4 linked regions of the Drosophila melanogaster genome follow. Changing the gene in region 4 together with the main gene of any one other region gives a genetic interaction. Each region holds a gene or a part of one and is shown on either strand. Other genes may lie near its edges.

The links.
Region 1: of eff (region 4) and faf, changing one suppresses a phenotype caused by changing the other (phenotypic suppression), as found in Drosophila melanogaster (2 studies listed by BioGRID).
Region 2: of eff (region 4) and enc, changing one enhances a phenotype caused by changing the other (phenotypic enhancement), as found in Drosophila melanogaster (one study listed by BioGRID).
Region 3: of eff (region 4) and E2f1, changing one suppresses a phenotype caused by changing the other (phenotypic suppression), as found in Drosophila melanogaster (one study listed by BioGRID).

The regions. Positions count from the first base shown.
Region 1 is NT_033777.3:31,775,074-31,780,041, forward strand, and holds the start of faf (fat facets), read left to right. Parts: upstream 1-1,946; 5' UTR 1,947-2,109; intron 2,110-2,169; exon of another isoform or gene 2,170-2,491; intron 2,492-2,564; exon of another isoform or gene 2,565-2,678; intron 2,679-3,098; 5' UTR 3,099-3,392; coding exon 3,393-3,685; intron 3,686-4,286; coding exon 4,287-4,435; intron 4,436-4,489; coding exon 4,490-4,968. Other genes in the region: CG2126 (uncharacterized protein), read right to left, coding at 278-429, 486-620, 675-847, 911-1,123, 1,176-1,309, 1,372-1,479. UniProt on the Drosophila melanogaster protein: Ubiquitin C-terminal hydrolase involved in development and the imd/NF-kappa-B (IMD) signaling cascade. Required for eye and embryo development, and plays a role in compound eye assembly and oogenesis respectively.
Region 2 is NT_037436.4:3,816,838-3,821,700, forward strand, and holds the start of enc (encore), read left to right. Parts: upstream 1-1,841; 5' UTR 1,842-2,080; coding exon of another isoform or gene 2,081-2,083; intron 2,084-4,863. Other genes in the region: Scsalpha1 (Succinyl-coenzyme A synthetase alpha subunit 1), read left to right, coding at 1-243, 600-884, 947-1,162. UniProt on the Drosophila melanogaster protein: Required for the regulation of germline mitosis, karyosome formation, and establishment of dorsoventral (DS) polarity of the egg and embryo. Involved in proper grk mRNA localization and translation in the oocyte.
Region 3 is NT_033777.3:21,630,060-21,634,996, reverse strand, and holds the start of E2f1 (E2F transcription factor 1), read left to right. Parts: upstream 1-1,923; 5' UTR 1,924-2,073; exon of another isoform or gene 2,074-2,864; intron 2,865-4,937. UniProt on the Drosophila melanogaster protein: Transcriptional activator that binds to E2f sites. Required for wild-type growth in mitotic and polytene tissues, Contributes to the expression of replication genes at the G1-S transition and Cyclin E.
Region 4 is NT_033777.3:14,738,276-14,742,878, reverse strand, and holds the start of eff (effete), read left to right. Parts: upstream 1-1,559; 5' UTR 1,560-1,872; intron 1,873-1,938; 5' UTR 1,939-2,475; coding exon 2,476-2,499; intron 2,500-4,603. Other genes in the region: jvl (javelin-like), read right to left, coding at 288-701. UniProt on the Drosophila melanogaster protein: Catalyzes the covalent attachment of ubiquitin to other proteins. Mediates the selective degradation of short-lived and abnormal proteins.

The sequences.
Region 1 (4,968 bases), about 17 Mb from region 4:
TTTAATATTACTATATGTGTATAATTAATGTGAAATATAATTAAAACGAAAAGAACGAAGAATGAATTAAGCTTGTGCGACGAAAACACTAAATAGACCTGCTCCTAAATTTGTTTCTCAACGGCTTTTAGAGCCGCAATTATACTCGGAACAGGTCTGAGTCTGAGCTACATACTAAATGTAAATAAATTAATTGACGCGTACACTACACATAGATAACAACAGTCGATCGACGAGTTCCCCGGGCGTGAAAAATTTGCATCTGGACGTCGCCGCATCAAATTCTCGACTCCAGCTCCCGGAACTCGGCAGGATCCGTGAAACGTACGGTCAAAATATAGAACAGTGTGGGGAAGGGCACCAAGCACATAAAGGCATAGTGGTAATTCAGGGAGGTGAGGCCGTAGGCCAACAACATCCAGTGCACAGCTGGGAAAGTAAGCTGCTGGTATACTTTATGTATGGTGAATGCGCACTTTGCTTACCTATGATGACCACGTTTTTTAACTCCCACACCGACGAGTGAACCAATGCCTTTAGGGTTTGATCCAGTTTGAGGGAATAGTGGATGGCATTGGCTACCATGGATATGGCCACGCTAAGGTACGGAAAGGAGTAATCTGAAAAAGAAAAGATCTCAAGACCAAAATATTAGCAAGCACTTAAGTACTCACAGATCAACCCACATCCTAACGCATGGATAAAGGTGAGCAGGGGCAGGAAGTAAAGAGCCGAGTAAATCGGCGCCTTGCTTCTGCCCCCCACATCCATAATTTTGCTGACTAGCGGGCGTATGAGAAACATGTTCACCAGGCACAGAAAGTAGAAAACCAGCACGATGGTTTGCCTGGAAATTGAACATTAAAGTGACTATTGTGAACACCTGGAGCCTTGGGTGGCTGGGTCTTACAATGGGTAAACTGCCTCCTGGGTGCAGTAGACTCGTGCCTCATAATTGGGGCTGGGGTTGTAAAACAATGTGTACCAGTCAGTAAGTTTTCGAACATCACAGGCGTAGAGGCGCAGCTCCCACATGGGCTCCATTAGCAAGGTGGCGAGGATGGCAGATATGGCAACCTCAACGAAAGCGCTGGCCGTCAAGATCAGCTGCTTCCGCGAAAACCTATGTGAATTCACTAAGTAAGTTCTTCTTCCAGTTTGATTAGTTCACTCACTTGCGATCCTTGGCGTCCATGTCAATGAAAAAGCAGTGCATCATAAGTGGCAGCATGGTCATGAATCCCAGGTATAGCCAGGAGTACGTGCTTAACTCGTCGCGGCATGGAGAGCATGCGTAACTTTGGTTCACCTGAACAATATAAAAGTAAATTATTTTCCAGGCGCCGTTCCGAAGGATGCTAGAACATTAACCCGAGATCCTCTGGGACAGACCCCGCAGCTGCTCCAGCTGTTGTTTCCTAGCGGTGATCGCCCACAGTAGGCTCCTGGGCAGCGTTCCAACGCGTCGTACATTCTCATGAAATCAAAACAATTACTTCGTATTGTATATTACATTAAACAAAATAAAAACAATACTCCTATCGATATCGGACTTATCGTTATCAGTAGGACCACTGAATAAACGAATAGGTTGTTCGTGCACTTAAATTAATACTAATTTATAAAATGATAATACATCAGAAGCACATGCGAAATGTATTAAAAATAAGGAAATTATTTTCTACAGATTATATAATGGGCCCTAAGACTGCTTTCTAATTTGATCAAATTAATAATACTATATGTTTTTATATATTTATTTACAATTAAACATGACTAGTAGAGTGTACATTCTTACAGTGCATTTCAATGATTTGATTTTATTTGAAATCCCAATTGCCAGAAATTTAAATTTAGGGTCCCTTATATGTACCACATAAACCAGTTCGATAGGCGCGCTTTTGGCATGGCCTGATAACTCTGGTAAAAAGCACCGCGCGAACCGGTTCAATTCATAACTAGTTCGCCCGAACTGCACAACCCTAGCAAAAGAAATAGCTTAAATATAATTTATTTAACGCGAATTGGACAACGAGCGGGTAGAAAAAACCCTGTGGCCGCAACCGCGACGCTCGCAGGATACGCAGCTCTTCGCCGTCGGGCAGGCAGGTAAAAAGCAATGGCAATTGGAGTTGACCGCAGAACAACAGCAACGGCAGACGCCATTTTGTCTATTGGCCGGCTGATTTGTAAGCTCAATATTCGCGAAATAGTTACCGCGACTAGCTTCGAGTGGCGCAGCCAAGTAAGGGCTCCCCGCTGTCCAGAGCAAAGGCGAAAGGAAGAGCAATCGCCCATTTTGAGGCCTGCGAAAAGTTGGGACTCGGTCGTCAGTTCGCTCGATTCCATTTGCGAAAAATAAATGTACGTGCGCGTGAGGAAGTGTGTGTGCGCGTGAAAAAACAGTGAAAAATAATAAAAAGCCGCACTGGCCGCCGTCCTTGGGTGACTTCCGTTAATCTCTTACAACTTTTAAAGCTATAGAAAGAATGTGAGCAATTTACCGCCCTCGACACACCCAATGAACCGCTAATTTTGGCATCTTTCTATAACTTTATGCGTAGTTATTTTCACCACCCTTCGCCTACACCCTTTCCCCGCCCCTTTTTCCACCAGTGGCTCCCACCCACCGACCGACATTCCGCTTAAGGATGATGCCGGGCGGAGAGAGATAGAGAGTGAGTGCAAAATCCGTAAACTTGGACGTGATGTAATTTTCGGCAGGAAAATGTTCTTTGTTTGCCCAAAAAAATAACAATAAATAAATAAGAATGAAGAGCGAGGCGTAAAACAAAAACAATTTTAAATTAAACTCAAACGCACACACAAAAAGAGAGGGTTCTGTGGGTGAGCGTGCGTGCGTGTGAGTGGGTGAGAGCGTAATTTGTGTGCTTTTGGAGCATTATTTGGCGCTTGCTGCCCCGTCTATTAAATAATATTGATTTTTCATATTCCAACCCAGCGCTCTCTTACACACACGCAGGACCACTCACACACCCAAAACTGAGCTTCGTACACATGTGGGCCTTTTCGGTCTCTCTCTTAGCGCTGTATTTATCCGCCTCTTATTGCCTCTTTCGCTTCGTTGCACTTTATAGATTTTTGCAAACTGGCCGCTGACCAGGCATTGGGAAAAAGGACAATAAGAGGGAGCCCAGAGCAAGAAGTCCAACTAACCGACCAACTGTGCCTCAAGAAACAGCAAATCAGCGGGGAACTCCCAAACTGGACAAGCAGAAGCCCGGATACCTCACATTTGCCATAAGACACCAGTCAAAAAACGACGCGCACTGCAGAACGCATTAGGATTAGCCCGGCACTAGAGCTCGTGCATTAACATCCGCTTCCGGTGCTCCGCAGAACGAGTTGGCTGGAGAGGATACCCCGCCACCATGACGTTCGACACTCGTAGGCACACCACCGGACAGCCGGGAAGCACAGCGCCCAGCTCAAGCAGCAGCACCACCAGCACAACAACCACCACAACGAGTCCGGCGCAGAGTGCCGGATCAGGATCGGGCATAGGAACAGGCACAGGAACAGTCGCCAACTCGAGTCTGCCAGGAGGAGGATCAGGTAGCTTGGACGGCAACCAGGATCAACAGCCGGCCACAGACAGTCAGAGCTCTGATGACGTGGCCGCTTCCTTGTCAGCGAACAGCGTGGACAGCACCATCACAATAGTGTAAGTGGTCGTGCTGCCGTATTTGCATGACTCCGCCCAATTAGTCGGGTTTTGTGCGTAGCACCAGTATGACCGCCACCCCTAAAGATCCCCAACATTCGTGTGTTTACTTTTGCGTAGTAATTCTTCCACATGCATTCTTTGTTTGTCTATGGTTGGGCCAGCACAATGTTCGTAATTCATTTAACTATGTTTCAGATGATTTTGGCCAGGCCACTGGTTAGTGACCATAAATGTGGCAATAAATGTTATCTTTCTTTTTCTTCGATAGGTGCACTTGGCTGCTGTCCAGTTTTAGCAATGAACTTACCAAGCTTTACTAATATTACCTTACCCGGCTATTACTATCTCATTTTGAATGCCCGTCCACGGCCTATCTTATCGCTTGTCCATCAAAATAAGCTAACACTGAAAATTACAAAAAAAAAAAAAAAAAAAATGTATGCGTTTTGGCATTTATTTTAATAGAAATAACCATTTAATAAACAGAAATGTTTATGGAAGGGTGTGCTTTGATTGACCCCCTAAGAACTTTTTTTTTTATGTGTATTATTTAATTTGTTATTTTTAATATTGAATAATTGTCCATTTAATTAAATAGGCCTCCAGAGAAGCTTATATCCTCGTTTCCCACGACGAAACTGAGATCACTAACGCAAAAGATATCCAATCCGCGTTGGGTGGTGCCGGTGCTGCCTGAACAGGAATTGGAGGTTCTCTTAAATGCAGCCATCGAACTGACCCAGGCTGGTAAGTGTGTCCAAACGATTTATTTGATACCCTCTAAAGTCAATTTATTTGCAGGTGTGGATCACGACTGCGAGCCATGTGTGGAGTTTTATCGCAATGGACTGAGCACTTCCTTTGCCAAGATCCTAACCGACGAGGCGGTGAATTCGTGGAAGAATAACATCCACCACTGTATCCTTGTGTCTTGCGGCAAGCTTCTACATCTAATCGCCATCCACATGCAGCGAGACAATCCCTATCTGCTTGACTTGCTGGCTATTGTTTTTGATCCGGAGAACAAGTTCAACACATTTAACGCAGGCCGTCAACCGGAGTGCTTCGCAGCGCCGGACTACATCTGGGGTCAGTTGGACAGCAACAAAATGTACGCCCGTCCGCCGCCGGAGCCCAAGAATGCGCGTGGCTGGCTTGTGGATCTTATTAACCGCTTCGGACAGTTGGGAGGCTTTGACAATCTACTGGAACGGTTTAACATCGGACTGGAACTGCTGAAGCGCAACCAAAACAAGTGCACTGGCAAGAATATTAGTGTC
Region 2 (4,863 bases), on a different chromosome or scaffold from region 4:
GTCTTCGCTTCGGTGGCGGAGGCCAAGAAGGCCACCGATCCACATGCCACCGTCATCTATGTGCCACCACCGGGCGCTGCGGCCGCCATCATCGAGGCTCTGGAAGCGGAGATCCCCCTGATCGTTTGCATTACGGAGGGTGTGCCGCAGCACGACATGGTGAAGGTGAAGCACGCCCTCATCAGCCAGAGCAAGTCGCGATTGGTGGGTCCCAACTGCCCGGGAATCATCGCCCCCGAACAGGTTCGTACATCTCCAGCGCTTGAGAGATAAGCTTGGCCAGAGGGCAAAGTCCACGTTCATCTGGTGGTTTTCTTATCTCTTGGTATGACGCTCGCTTTGAACTACATATATCTGTTTACTATTCCGTTTTCAATTTGCTTATTGTTAATGTATAAACAGGCCTCCATTGACACACCCTTAAATTTGGGCATTGAACTTTGCACCTGAAGTTGGTGGAATTTGCGGACGATACGTTTTTTATTACCATTTATAACGCTTATCTTTCTATGCGTCACAAAACTTAGTGATTACCCACTTCACTCCACTTTCAGTTAAGTCAATTGTATAATCTTAAACTATGTTTTTTCTGATTGCAGTGCAAGATCGGCATCATGCCGGGTCACATTCACAAGCGCGGCAAGATCGGCGTGGTCTCGCGCTCGGGAACCTTGACCTACGAGGCCGTGCACCAGACCACGGAGGTGGGTCTGGGCCAGACCCTGTGCGTGGGCATTGGAGGCGATCCGTTCAACGGAACCGACTTCATCGACTGCCTGGAGGTCTTCCTCAAGGATCCCGAGACCAAGGGCATCATCCTGATCGGCGAGATCGGAGGCGTTGCCGAGGAGAAGGCTGCCGACTACCTGACCGAGTACAATTCGGTATGAGAAGCCATCACGGATCAATGTATTTCATTGCTAAATGTTTTTGTATCCTATTGCAGGGCATCAAGGCCAAGCCTGTCGTCTCGTTCATTGCCGGAGTGTCGGCGCCACCCGGCCGTCGCATGGGTCACGCTGGAGCCATCATTTCCGGAGGAAAGGGAGGTGCCAACGACAAGATCGCCGCCCTGGAGAAGGCCGGCGTCATTGTGACCAGGAGTCCTGCCAAAATGGGCCACGAGCTCTTCAAGGAGATGAAGCGTCTGGAGTTAGTGTAAATAATTAAAGGCCATAACCAAACCGGAATCCGTACGCCGATCAAAGCGTATACGCAAACTCATGATGATGAACCTAACGTTAAGCTAAAAGTGTCGAAAATCGAAATTGCATTCGAGCGAACCCAAATAAATTATTGTGAAAAATTACTAGAGAGAAACGAGAGGCGTTGAATTGTGACATGTATTCCAAGAATTAAGTTAACTACTGCCGTACCACCAAGTTGAACTAAAATAACTCGCACCAAAACCAAGATTTCTAATTGTTATTGCACTCGGCTCATTGTTTGTGTTGCGAACAGATTTTTGCCTTAATTTTAAATGCCTGCTCGAATTATCAATGCGAATTGTATCTGAATGTGTAATAAATATGCATAAAAACAGGATAGATGTGGTGAATTTTCGTGGTTTTAGCTATACAAGCCATATCCTTTGAAAATATGAATTTTCAGGTCAATTTATTTAATCTAAACTAAAATTCTTTGGAGAAGAATTAACAAAACAATAATTTATGAAAAGCAATGCTTACCATATTAAAAAAAGATTTAAGGAAATTTAAAAAAATGTAGTTTTCTACTTTCGATATTTAATGGGATCGACTTGCAAACATCAAGAGCACACATCGATAGAGCGGAAGTTTCGATTAACTCGTGAAATATCTGGCAACATTAATATCGAACTGCCATCGCTTTTTGTGCCAGCTCTAATAAACATATATATGTTTTAGGGCCGCGATTGAAAATGCGTGCCACAAAGGCCTAAACAAACTTGGAAAACACCGCGAAAAACGTCAGAAGCTATAGTGCCGATTCGCATATTGTTCGCCACCCCGGAAAAGTGTGAAAATCGCAGATAATCAAAAGGGAGAGCAACCAAAGGAAAAGCAACAACAACGACTCGCCATGGGCAGCAGAACTGAAAATGGTGAGTTTCTAAGAAAATGTCCCTAAATTTCGTTAGCACTGTCCCTTTTCTCGCAAAGCGTGTTGGAAATGATGTGAACATAATAATATTAGTGCGCTTATTATTACTATTGCAACATTTTCGGTTTTTGCAGCCGCCGGTTGCGGTTGCATTTTAAAGTGCACTACATACGCACACACACACATGTGCACATACAAATTTATCACCTCGCATGTATGTATGTATGTGACGGAGTAGTGCATGCCTTTTAGTAGGGCTGCCGGGAAGGCCCCGTTATCTGATTCCGGGTATGTCTAATTGGAGTTGTTAGTTGGAATTTTCGTTCGCCGAGGAACTTTATTGAAAAAAAGTTGTAGCATGGCTAATACCAGGAGTTCATGGCCTTGACGCTCGCAATACATAGTGCTGCATTGAAAATAATAAATTATGGGATTGTTGGTAGCAGATTGGTAGCTTAATTGCTCACATAATTCTTCGATTTAATATTATGCCAATGCTTCCGTACTTTTAATATAATATATATTCAATATCCTACTTTAAAAAAATATTATTATGAAACGAGAAATATAGCTAGAAGTATTATTCTTTATTATTCTTTAGTTTTAAGTTTTTAAAATGTTGATCCGAAATATCAGGTTGAGTTAAAAGTAATGTAAATGTAAAATATATTTTACAAACAGCACGTCATTATTACTTCGGATATGAAAAACCACTTAAGGATGCGTCCTATCTATATATTATGTAGATTTTTGTGTATAAGCTTTAGGATAAATAGTTTTGAAAACTGTTGCTGCTGCTGCAGATCGATTACAAAACGCCGAAAAATGTGCGTTCCAGTTCGCTAGGAACCCTCAACTTCTGGTGACATATCGCATTCTTGCAAACATTTTTGTAAGTTTTCTTCCTCTTCGCGTTTGCTCGATTTATAGAGAATGCTTTTGTTTGTGTTTAAAATAGATTCGAAATGGCTCTTTGGCCTGCGTCCGCCATTGTCGGCGTTTTCGAGTGGGTTTTATTGAAAATCTATTTTGCGAATTATCCGACCAGCCCGGCTATATCCCCCCTCCCTCCACTTCCCTGGGCCTTTCTCACATTTGTCTCCAATTCTCTTACATCGCTGGCGTCGCAATAATGTCGTCAGTTTTTTGTTTATTCGCTCTCCCAAACACCGAAACACGCAAAAAATAGTTCTTATTTTTGTTAAATCCACACAAATTTTCTTGAGTGAAAGTGAAGATTTTATCTTATTAGTGATTGTAGCTTCTATCAAAAAGTGTGAGTTTAGGAAAGTTTGGGTTTTGAATATCTGGACTCATTGGTCTTTCAATGCAAGTGTCCACTGTACTTTATAATACAATTTATACTAAAAACGTCGCTGTTTTGTTTTCGTCTGTTTATTGTTTTATTTGGATACTCGCATCTAATGATTCCACCGATGATGACCGATTTTCGGTCGATGATGCCGTGATGAGGATGATGTATCTTTGCTGATGCTCTAAACGAAATGTCGTCGTTGTCACACAATGTTGTAGTTGTTTCCTTAGTGGCTGCTGCTACTTAGTTAGTCGATTGTGATGCGCTCGGATTCGCTTCGGCCTTCCGTTTCGCACTCATTACACAAACAAAAAAAGATTGAACACAAGTCTTACTGCAAAAACTCGCGAAACCGAAGCATTTTTCATGCGAGAATGTCGAGAATTTGTGTAAATTAATTTATTGCCTTCGCTCATGCCACTTTCTATATCGGATGGCATTTTATTTGCATTTTTTGAAACACATTCTGGCAGGCGTACATCTTTTGATTTCGCATTTCGATATTTCAGCAGGCAAACTCCTGTTAGTAGAATTTTTATTGAGTTAAAAAAAATGTAACTTGTAATTTAAAGCAAAATTTTTATAGTCCACATAATTGAATATTGAAAAACATTGGTTGTTTTCTACCTTTCCAAAGAGCTCATCTGATGCCTTGAATAAATCAGGAAAAATAAATATACTCGTGCCCACAAGCGTTTTATGTTTTGAAGGTAAAATTAAAAAAATTATTTTTTTTATATATATACACTGGGAATAATTAATATTTGGCTGATTACTTGTCAACGAAGATGCGCTGTACTTTATTTAGTCTGCTGCTTATGAATAATCGCCTGTGATAAGAGCAGACACATCACATCGGTTACGCCAGTTTTGTTTTTGATTTTGATTTGGCTCAAAGAGCCCCATCAGTTCCACACACCTGCCCCACCGCTGTCCTCTGTAGATTCCGCAGACAAAGTTGCGATGCCAAGCAAATTCTATTCCCGTAGAAGCGAAGGAGGTGACTGGGTGGTGGCTTTAGGTCCGTGCAGATGCTTTTTGCATATTTCATAATTCCCGCAGATGGCCTGAGCGCGGGGAAAGCCGAAGACAACAATCAAATGGCCCCAAATGTCGGCTCCCAGGTGCCCCTTTTCGTATGCAACGGGCATGTCTCATATGCCAAATGAATGAATGATTGAGGAGACTGAAAGTCTAGCTCTCTTCTCCTACTCCTATTAATATTTTCCCTTAAGCTATGAGCACCATTTAGCCGTTTACAGGACATCTGCTAGTCAGGATTCTCTGTTCGCCAGCTGTGCTTAGCTCGGCTTTTTCTGCGCTCTGCCGCAGAACTCAATGGCTGCTTAACGTGGCCTTAAAAGTTTTGGCCGTCTGTCACGAAAAAACCAAAGCAGAAACGATAGCTGACAAAAGTTTAAAGATTTTAAGATATTTAGCTGCTTGATAGTAGACATTTAGATGTG
Region 3 (4,937 bases), 6.9 Mb from region 4:
GGAAGTTCCCGCTTGCGCTCTTCTATCTGGTAGGCGAAAAAAAAAAACCATCTTGCAGAAAATGGTTGAAAAAAAATCAAGCATAGAGATACTCTAATTGCATATGTGTTGGGCAAGGGATGGGAAGGGGGAAGGGGCAGGCGCAGGGGCCAAAGTTCTTCCTCTCTTTCTGCGTCCGTGAGGGGTGATTCTCGCCCCTCTTCTTCATATTCGTATTCTCATTCTTCTTCTTCTTCTTCTTGTCTGCCGGTCTGGCTTATGGGAAATGTGAAAAAAATCACACTCACGGATCTGTGAGTGTCCTCGCCTCAGCAACCCACCCAAGAGAAACCCAAAGGATAACAGCCTCGAATCCAAAAAAAAAAACTGCCTAAAAAGTTAATAGAAATCGAAAACTGGAAAGGAGATTACATTTCTGGTAGGAGGGGGGGGGGATGTTTCTCAGTTACTGGGCTTGGGATTATGGGAATGGGAAACACTGCGCAGATCGCCTGGCAAGTTGTACTGATTTGCGAGATACATTTGTGCACACAAAACCAGGAATGCAAATGGCAGCGGGCATGAGTTGTAAATATTTAATCAGATTGTTGTTAGAAAAAGTGACATGGTAGCGATTTTGGGATATTTATGAGTACAAACTTTGCATTATTCCAGAATGTATGAGTATTGTTTGTTTAGTAGAAAGTGCTTTTGCACTAAAGTAGATTAATAGTGGAATAACAAATAATATAAGAATGGAAAGTCAAATGTTTGAGCAGGTTTCTTTAATCAGGTCAGTTGCTCAGCAAATAGGTGAATTTTTACACTTCAGTTAGTATTTACTTAATTAAATACTAACTTTTCTCTATAAAGTTGCAAATCTTTAAGGTATATTATATGATTAAGCTGTGAGCTGTGAGATGAGCATACTTGGCTTTAATCTCAGGCATAATTTTTATGATACGTAGAAATTAATAGATTTGTGTGCGACAGTGTCGAGTTATGCGATAGACCCATTTAATGCCTATTTCCGGCCTTAAAAAGTGTACCCCTTGTTGATGGGGCGCTGAAAATCGGCAACGCTGCTGTGCTGCTGCAACTACAACAATGTCGTCACTGCAACGCAATGCAACACTTGGCACACAACTGATAAAGATAAAGAAGATGGTGAAGCGGTTGGTTGAGCGGGAGGGGAAAGGTTCTCTGCCGGCGTCGCTGTTGATGTGGGTGCGGTAACAGCGACGTCGCCACTTCCGTCTGAGCGATTTTTAGCCGATTTGTAGCCGGCAAGCCGAAGAGAGCGAAAAGGGTTGGGGGCCAAAAGCAAAAGCCGCTCTCACCGAACATTCGAGTCTGGCTTCCACATGCCACATGTGAAGAGTAGGAAGCGGCGCCACTCACATTCCACCCTCTTGCGCTTTCGCTTTCCGCCCCCTTCTCCACATTCGTTCTCTCTCGTGCTCAGCTGTTGCCGCTAATTCGCTGCAATTAGCGTGGTTCTCTTAGCTTCAAGCATTAGTTTTTATATCAACAGAATTTTAAAATTAAAAACTTCAAATAAAACTTGGACCAAAGATTTAATTAAAAGCTGATATTAGGTAAAATAATGTAGCATTTAAAAAACAATTCAGGAAGTGATTAACAGCGCTGTTATAGGTATTTAACTTCGCTTATAAATAATTATATTTTTCTTTTAACACTCAAATGTATTTATTCATTGCAAAATATTAATAACCCAAAATATTCGTTCCCTTTTGAATTGACAACCTATCGTAATATCGAATAGCTATCGTTTGATCAGTTTTGTCTCCACTCAATTTACGATCCACTCTCTTCTGCTCTCACTCTCTCGTGCCGCGAGCGCTCAGCTGCTGACGCCTCAAATTCGCCGCTACAAGAGACGCCGTGCGTTTTGTGGCTCGTTGCTTGTTCTGTCGATTCGCCGCGTTCAGTGTTGTTGTCGCGTCGTGACGCTGCTGTTGCCGCTGCCGCCCCCACACACATGTGCGAGCAGAAAACACGTTACGAGGGGAAAATCGACGGAAAAATCCGAAAAAAAATAGAAAAGCTAACTGAAAAGAGTACAAGACTGAGGTATTGATAAGTTAATGTGGTTTAATACACTAATTAAGCGTAAGTGGCCGGTATTAAAAGTGCCATTACGGTGGTGCTTACGTTTTCTCCGTCTGACGTAAGACGACTCCCTCTCTCGCTCTCTCTCTCTATCTCGTGTCTCTCCGATTCTCTTTCTCCGCGTGTGGATTGCGTTTTGCCGGCGACGGCGACTCCAAAAAAGACACGGCACAACACACTTTGTGGCCCAAGTTCAGTTCGCTTTTCGTCGCCAGTCCGCAAAAATGTGAAAATGGAAAACTGAGAGAAAAACCAAAAAGCCGCAAAAGACTGCCTCTGCAAGTAAAAGATTCAAGTCGCTGAGTAGCAATAGCAAATGCTCTAAAAAATCAAGAATAAAATAAAATAAAAGTGCGGGCGTGTAACAATTATGTGATATCTACAACAAATGCTCGAACTGCTGACGTCACGCACAGAATCGTAGAATATATAGAGAATAAAGAAGAGAAACGAAAACGTCGCGTAGTAAAGTTAAAAGTTCCCACACCACCGACGTACTCACACTCGCACACACACAGACTGAGTCAAACGAGTAAGAAGCAGCAGCACATTATACGTGGAATACAAAAAGTAACCGACAGAAAAGGCAAAACGCCCGCAAAAAAATGAAAAATTTGCAAATATGAAACGTGTGTGATATTCAAAAAGAGCAAGAAGAAGCAGGCGGCGGTGGAAAAAAAAGCAGAGCAATTTGTTGTGGTTGCGTGTGATATATAGAAAGCAAGTAAAACCAACAAAAATTCCATTTTTAGGTGCGTATTCAAACAAGACAAAAAAAAAGAAGCAAAGGGAGTTTCCACCTCACCTTTGATGATCAATTAATCATTCAATTTTGGGCTAAGCCCTCTAATAACCTCCAAAACCGATACGGTGAATAGCAGTCATTCGCTCACTCATTCAATCCCCCAACGCTCCAGTTTTCAGAGATAACGAATCGAAAATTCGGAGTCCATCAGTTTTTATTTCTATTTGCCCAAAGTCGGCGGCGATTTCTTTATGGCGCCCCCCAGATTAACATTTTACTAGATGTTAAGACAACAGTGCAGGTAACAGTTTGAAGAACTCGTGGTTTTTCTTCGAAGATATGGACAAAAATACATTTCAAGTTAAAATTAATTGTGTAAAACCGTCCAGCACAATATTAGCCAACTAACTGGCGTTTTTGTGTTGACGTGGATACTGAGGAATGCAAAATTAAAGCTGCACTGCAGTCATAAATATCAACTGAAATGTTCAATAGACATGTAATAATTAGGTAATGTGTTTGTTTTACAAATTAAAGTGATCTAAATGTTTTAAAATCTCAGATCATTTGTCTCTTTAATATTTTCTGTGGTCTTGAATTTGCCGGTTACTTCTACCAGTTTCGTCGGGTTAATTGGACTTGCATCAACAGTTTTCCGCTTTAATCTGTGCATGTACTTGACGACTGCACCACATAGTGTGTACATTATGTGTGGCCCCTGTTATCAGGCCTTGTGAGTACACAATATTCGATTGGCTCTAAATGCGTCATCGCGTAAATGGCCAGGCGAAATGAAGTTTTGTACATTATGTACAAAATTTTGGTGTATGAAACGCAAAGGGGACTTCCCTGGAATTCATTCTGCTTTCCTTGCCGGCATTGATATTCCACACCCACGCAATAATTTTTCCTTTCCCGGGCTTTCATTATGTTTGCAGTTTTCTGTGGGCGAAATATTTTGCGACGCATTTTGTGCGCCTCTCCCTGGACAAAAAGCCGCCTTCTCTTTTACTCGTTCTCTTTTTCTTGACTTGGCCAGTTGGCAATTATTTTTGGCTTTCTCAAACGAAAAAAGCTAAGGCGAGGCTTACAGCCGTTTTATTTTATATTACTATTACCTTATTTCATTTCTGTAAGTGTGCAATTAAGTGGCTGCCTTCTGTCTCGGTCCTTGCGGTTCATAAGAAAGAAGCCAAGTGTGTGTAATTGACCAAATGAAATAAAGATGATAGAGAAAATAAAACCGGCTAGAAAAAAGCATCCATGGGACCAACAACAACAAAAAGATGAAGAGAGATGTTCCATGTGGATTGTGTCTGTGAGTAACAGCTGTTATTCGGATTCAGGCCGGCTTTTACTCTCAGTCTCTTTTCCCTAGCAGCATCCCCCTCCAACACACACACACACCGTGGGAGACTCTCTCTTTCTCTCTCTGGACTGCCGCTTAATACACAAAATTCGTGTTCTTCCTCTTTTTCTGGCTTTTGATTCACTTTTTTCCCTCTATTGCAATTGTTGTTGCTTAACACCTTGCACACTCGCACATTATTTATTTGTATTTATTTCACTTGTCCCTGCCTTTTTACTGCGCATGCAAAATGATGTGCAAAAAGAAAGCGAAACTTTTTATTAGCTCTTGGTATCTGTGTGGGTGTTAGTGAGCATGCATGTACATACATATGTATGTTTTCGTGTGCTTGTGCTTATGCCTGTGTGTGCGTGAGTCTGCATACATAACAACGTATATAATTAATAGCCATGTAAATGCATGATCTTCATAATTAATAACGGTAAATTGGCATGCCAGAGGAATACAGTTATGGCTGCAAATTAAATACCAGCCATTAGTTGCATTCGAATTGGGATTTTAGCTAATATTTTATTAATTAGTGAATTGAGATTTCATGTCTGCAATTGGGCATATTTATTATTCGGGGGCAGACTAAATTTAAGTTATAAAGAGTAAAGATCCGTTAATTTAACAATCTTCACTACACCTTGCGGCCGGTTATTGTTGCTATACTAATTCGAAATTAACACGGAGAACGTGAGAGCAGAGTAGTGGCAGTGAAAAGGTGAA
Region 4 (4,603 bases):
TAAAACCCATGGGGGTTTTATTACAATTACAATTCTGTGACATGCCAAACGAATCCCTCGAACTGGAAACTCTCTGTTCCAACCAGAATTCTTTATTTTTGGTTTTCTTTTCCTGTTTTGGGGTTAAATCTAAATACATACAAATGGCATTATCAAAGTTTAAATAAAATACTACATTTTATAATACATAACTTAAAGGGGATATATTATATTTGATTGGCAATTATAGAAGTTCCTTGTTCTCCTAATATTACAAGTTTATCTGGTTCTTTGTGCAACAAACTCACCTTGTGGCAAAACGCGGCTGCCTCCTTGGCCACGCCTACTCCGTCCGCTGAGTGGGCGTGCGTTGATGGCGAGGTCGCGTAGACGAAGAGCGGTAGCGAGCTAAAGTTCCGTTTGTCCTGAAAGCGGCGGCTGAAGAATAACGGCTTGTGGCATCCCGCTGCAGCGGCTAGTATGTTTGTTGTTGTTGCCGTTTTCGTAACACTAGGTGTGGAAGCTACTGCTGCTGCTTCTTCTTGTCTGCGCGTATTTACTGTTGTTGTTGTTGTTGTTATGGGTGCTGCAGTTGTTGTGTTTGCTGTTGTTGCATTTGCTGGGGTCGCCATTGGCGTATCGCAATTTTCTCGTATTATCGCCGCTTCTTCCTCTTCGCTGCAAGTTGTTGTTGTCTGTGTTTGCGTTTTTGTTGTTGGCATGACTACAACTACAGCTACTATAAATCGAATATAAATATATCGACGGAGGCGTGGGCGGTGGCGGAGCTGTGGGCGTGTCCCTGCAGCTGCTGGCGTCCCTTATTGTTGTTTCTGTTGTTCTTGTTGTTATTACTTAGGACCTTGGCATTATCCTCCTCCATCTTTTTTGCTGTTCAAGAAGTCAGCGAAGTTCAGCGCTTGCCAAAACTGAATGATTAGCACTTGCACATCGTCGCGTTTATCTTGGCTTTCTTCATTATTTCTTGTTTTTCAAGTGCAAAAATATTGTACAAATTCTTGGGCCATACAAAAGTGTGAGTTCTGTGTAAAAATTCACAAAAAAATACGCACGAAGCCGATTGCGGGGGTGGGAGAGAGATGGCGATACACGAACGAGTTCAAAGGGCCGCCAAACTAGGAAAAACACGCCAACAAATCAAACAAAACACTTGCACAACCGCAATTCGATCAATGTCGAAGCAAAACAGCCACTAATATTAAGTATATTACTTAATTAACAAACACTTTTGTTTGAAATATTTTGCAGACAGTTAAAGTTAGAGCTGGAACCAAAATCGATGTTTATGCGATACTATCGATGTATAGGGTAAGAGGGCTGCATTGATTAAATTCAGCTACCGTCGATTGTTTTAACTGTTCATACTATTATAACGGCAGTTTCAGACAGCGGAAGCGCCATTTGGAGTAGTGAGAAAATAAAAAGTTAAATTAAATGAACCAGTTTATTTTGTTAAAAATATTTTCATCCTTATGATAATAAAATCTAAATACTAAAAATCTACTAACGCCTGTTATTCCCAAAAACTATCGATAGCACAACGGAAAATATCGACAAGTATCCTGAATTGGCACGTCGGCCTTGCCAGACCAGCGCTCTGGAGTGAATTTAAATTTTAAAATAACGCCCTGTCAATTCAGTTGTAGAACTCAGTAGCTAGTCGGAAAGTTTTCAAGAACTCGGATTACCAACATCTCAAAATTGCTCAGTAAAAACATTCCGGCAGCCTGCAACACGTTGGGTGTTAACAAATTTACATACAAGTTGCAAGCTTTTGGGCGCACGCACCATCGATAAGAAGGTAGTTCGAATAAAATATAACACCTCCTCGCTGCCGGTAAAACTATTTCTTCTGGCTGTTCCCGAACTAAAGTGAGTATGAAGAGTCTTGCATTGGCAATCAAATTGTAATTAACTGATTCATCCCTCACCTAAAAGGCGTTGCCACCCAATCGATCTGGCCACCCCTAGCGAAAAGGTCATATAGCTGGACTGCTCTGCTGGACTTCCGCTTCACAACACTACCACACGACACAGACACACCATTCCTCTCGCTCGGGCTTACACTTCGGTGTAACGATTGTGCTTCGTTGCGTTCTCAGCTCACTAACGGTCGTCTCTATCGCACAAACGGTCGAAAGGCCCCGCATTGATTGTGAAAAAATAATCGTCGCCGTAGTCTTCGTCGGGTCGCCGTTTTTACTTGCAGTGCGCTGGTGCTGCTTTATTTCGTGACAAGGGACACTCAACCGAAAGAGCCATATTTAAGCATCAAAGTTCTAGAGGCGCAACGCAGCTTTGTGTTTCGTTTTTCGTTCAATTCTAAGCAGGAGGATTATATATTGAATAAAACCCAATTCTGTGCGAAGAACAAAAGAAATACGCGAGACACCAACACCAGCACACAACCAACCAAACACACACACAACCAACCAAACACACACACAACCCAGAAAATCAAATTTCAATCAGAAAATGGCGTTAAAAAGAATCAATAAGGTATGTGAAAAAAGGAATATCTCAAAAAACTTTGCGAAACGGACTAAAAAAAGAAAGAACAGAACCCTTTGCGATACACCAAAATGATAGTCTAAAAAAAAAGCGAACAGACATCAGTTTTCAACGGGAGAAAAATTTTATGCAAGAAATGTGAAACGTAGGTAGTAACCGAGGAGAAGAAAGAAGAAGCGGGGGGAAAGAAGCGTGCAAGAGGGAAGGGAGAAAATGAGCTGTGGAGTTACCATTTAATTAATAAGTTAGTAATTAGGAGCAGATTAGAAATTTTGAGGGTGGTGAAAAAGGTATAAGGATGTGTGTGTGTGGTGGGCAAGGCAACGTGTAGTGCAGTCATCGCTTCCGTTACTTTTGCGAGAGTGTGGGATAAGTGTGTGTGCGATGCGTGTGCGTGAAAGTGCAATGCAAATGTGCATTGTTTGTGTGCGTGTGTGCCGGGCACCTGGATGCATTTACATTAATGCAACTATACGGCGGAGTTTTCGCAGCTCTACGGGCGCTGTTACCCAATACACGCTGTACACGGCACTCGCACACACTCTCAGCCTCGCAACAGTCACACATAAACGCACACACTGCCAGCGCCGCAGAAAGATCCAGCAAAAAATAAAACAGAGCAAAAGCAAGAAGCGTATAAAATTAACCTAACCCTACTTTTTGCGCTGATAATTCAGAAATAGTGCTGCCCCCAAGCATATATATTTATATATGTATTTAGGTAGAGTGGTTCTAGCGTGCGTGCTTCGATAATTATTTTTAAAGTGCCTGCGCGTCGTTTGTCCTTGTCCAGTAAATGCTTTTTTACACCCCAATGTTCAAGGCCCTGACAACCCGATATTTTTTCAAAGTCATCCCAGCCTTCCTCAAAAGCATTAGTAATATCTCGAAGTTGTGGAAATGTTACTTGGCAAATTGGGATCTTTTTTTACGTTTGAAGCCGGTTATCATAGTCATACCCCACACACACACACATTAAAACGCTCGCAAATACAAAGTCTCGCCATCACTTGGCTATGGCCATTGCATGCCATCTCGCTCTGGCCCTGGCGCATTCCCTTTGCCCGCGACAGCTGAGGCCTCATTCGGTCCCGCTCGCGCAATGGGGCAGAGCCAAAGAGAGCGCAAGTGTGTGAGTGCTAGCGGGGCTTAGTGTTGCAAAACACCGTCAGCCAAAAGGGGGCCCCCAAATAATTAGTTATAAATTATAATTAAGCATAATTTACATACAAAATGAGCAGCGAATGCGGAATTTGTTCATATCTATGCGTATGTGTGAGCGTGGTGTGTATTTGTGTTTGAATGTGTGGGGCGGGGGTCTGCTGACTGTCTCGACAAAAGCAGCGCTGCCTGCGTCGGCGTCATGGCCATTGAGTTTTCCTCGTTTTTCGTAGTTTTCTATCCATTATAACATTTTAATGCCTGCCTAAATGAAAACGAAATGGCAAGCGGCAAACCGGAAATAAAAGTATACATTGTAGTAAACTCTTAAAATCACTCACGCCCCCTTTTTGTGGTCAATTCTTCAAAAGCCTTTTTTCTCTAGATGGCCTCATTTGCCAAAAAAGAGAGTTAAAGAGCGAGAGAGAACGGCTTAAACGCCGATCGGAGCTCACTTGAACCGTACACTGAACGAAATGGGCTTTAGAACCAATGCATATGGCATTTAGTCTTACTGAACCAATTCTTAAAGTTCACAATATTAATTATTCGAATAAGAATTAAATAGAAGTTTGTATTGGTAGTGCACCTGGTCTAATATTGATAATATTATCGAATTTTCTTGCTGTGCACAAGTGTGCGTGTTTGTTTTTACTTCATTTGTTCGTCTGATATGAGTCATAACCGCTCCGACTCCCAACGAAAAAAGAAATGTAACAATTTCTTGTAATTTATTTTTGCTCAACAGGTACAATTCCCAAAATGAGTAAGTGAGATGGGGCAAAGAAACACGGTGTTTTTCGCGACGGCTATTTTTGTTGTGCTCCACTCTGATTTTGTGGTGCCGTTACAAACACACGCATACACTGAAGCTCAGTCTTCTCACTCTCCTTCATTCTTCCTCCTCCTGCTGCTCCTCCTCTTACTTCTC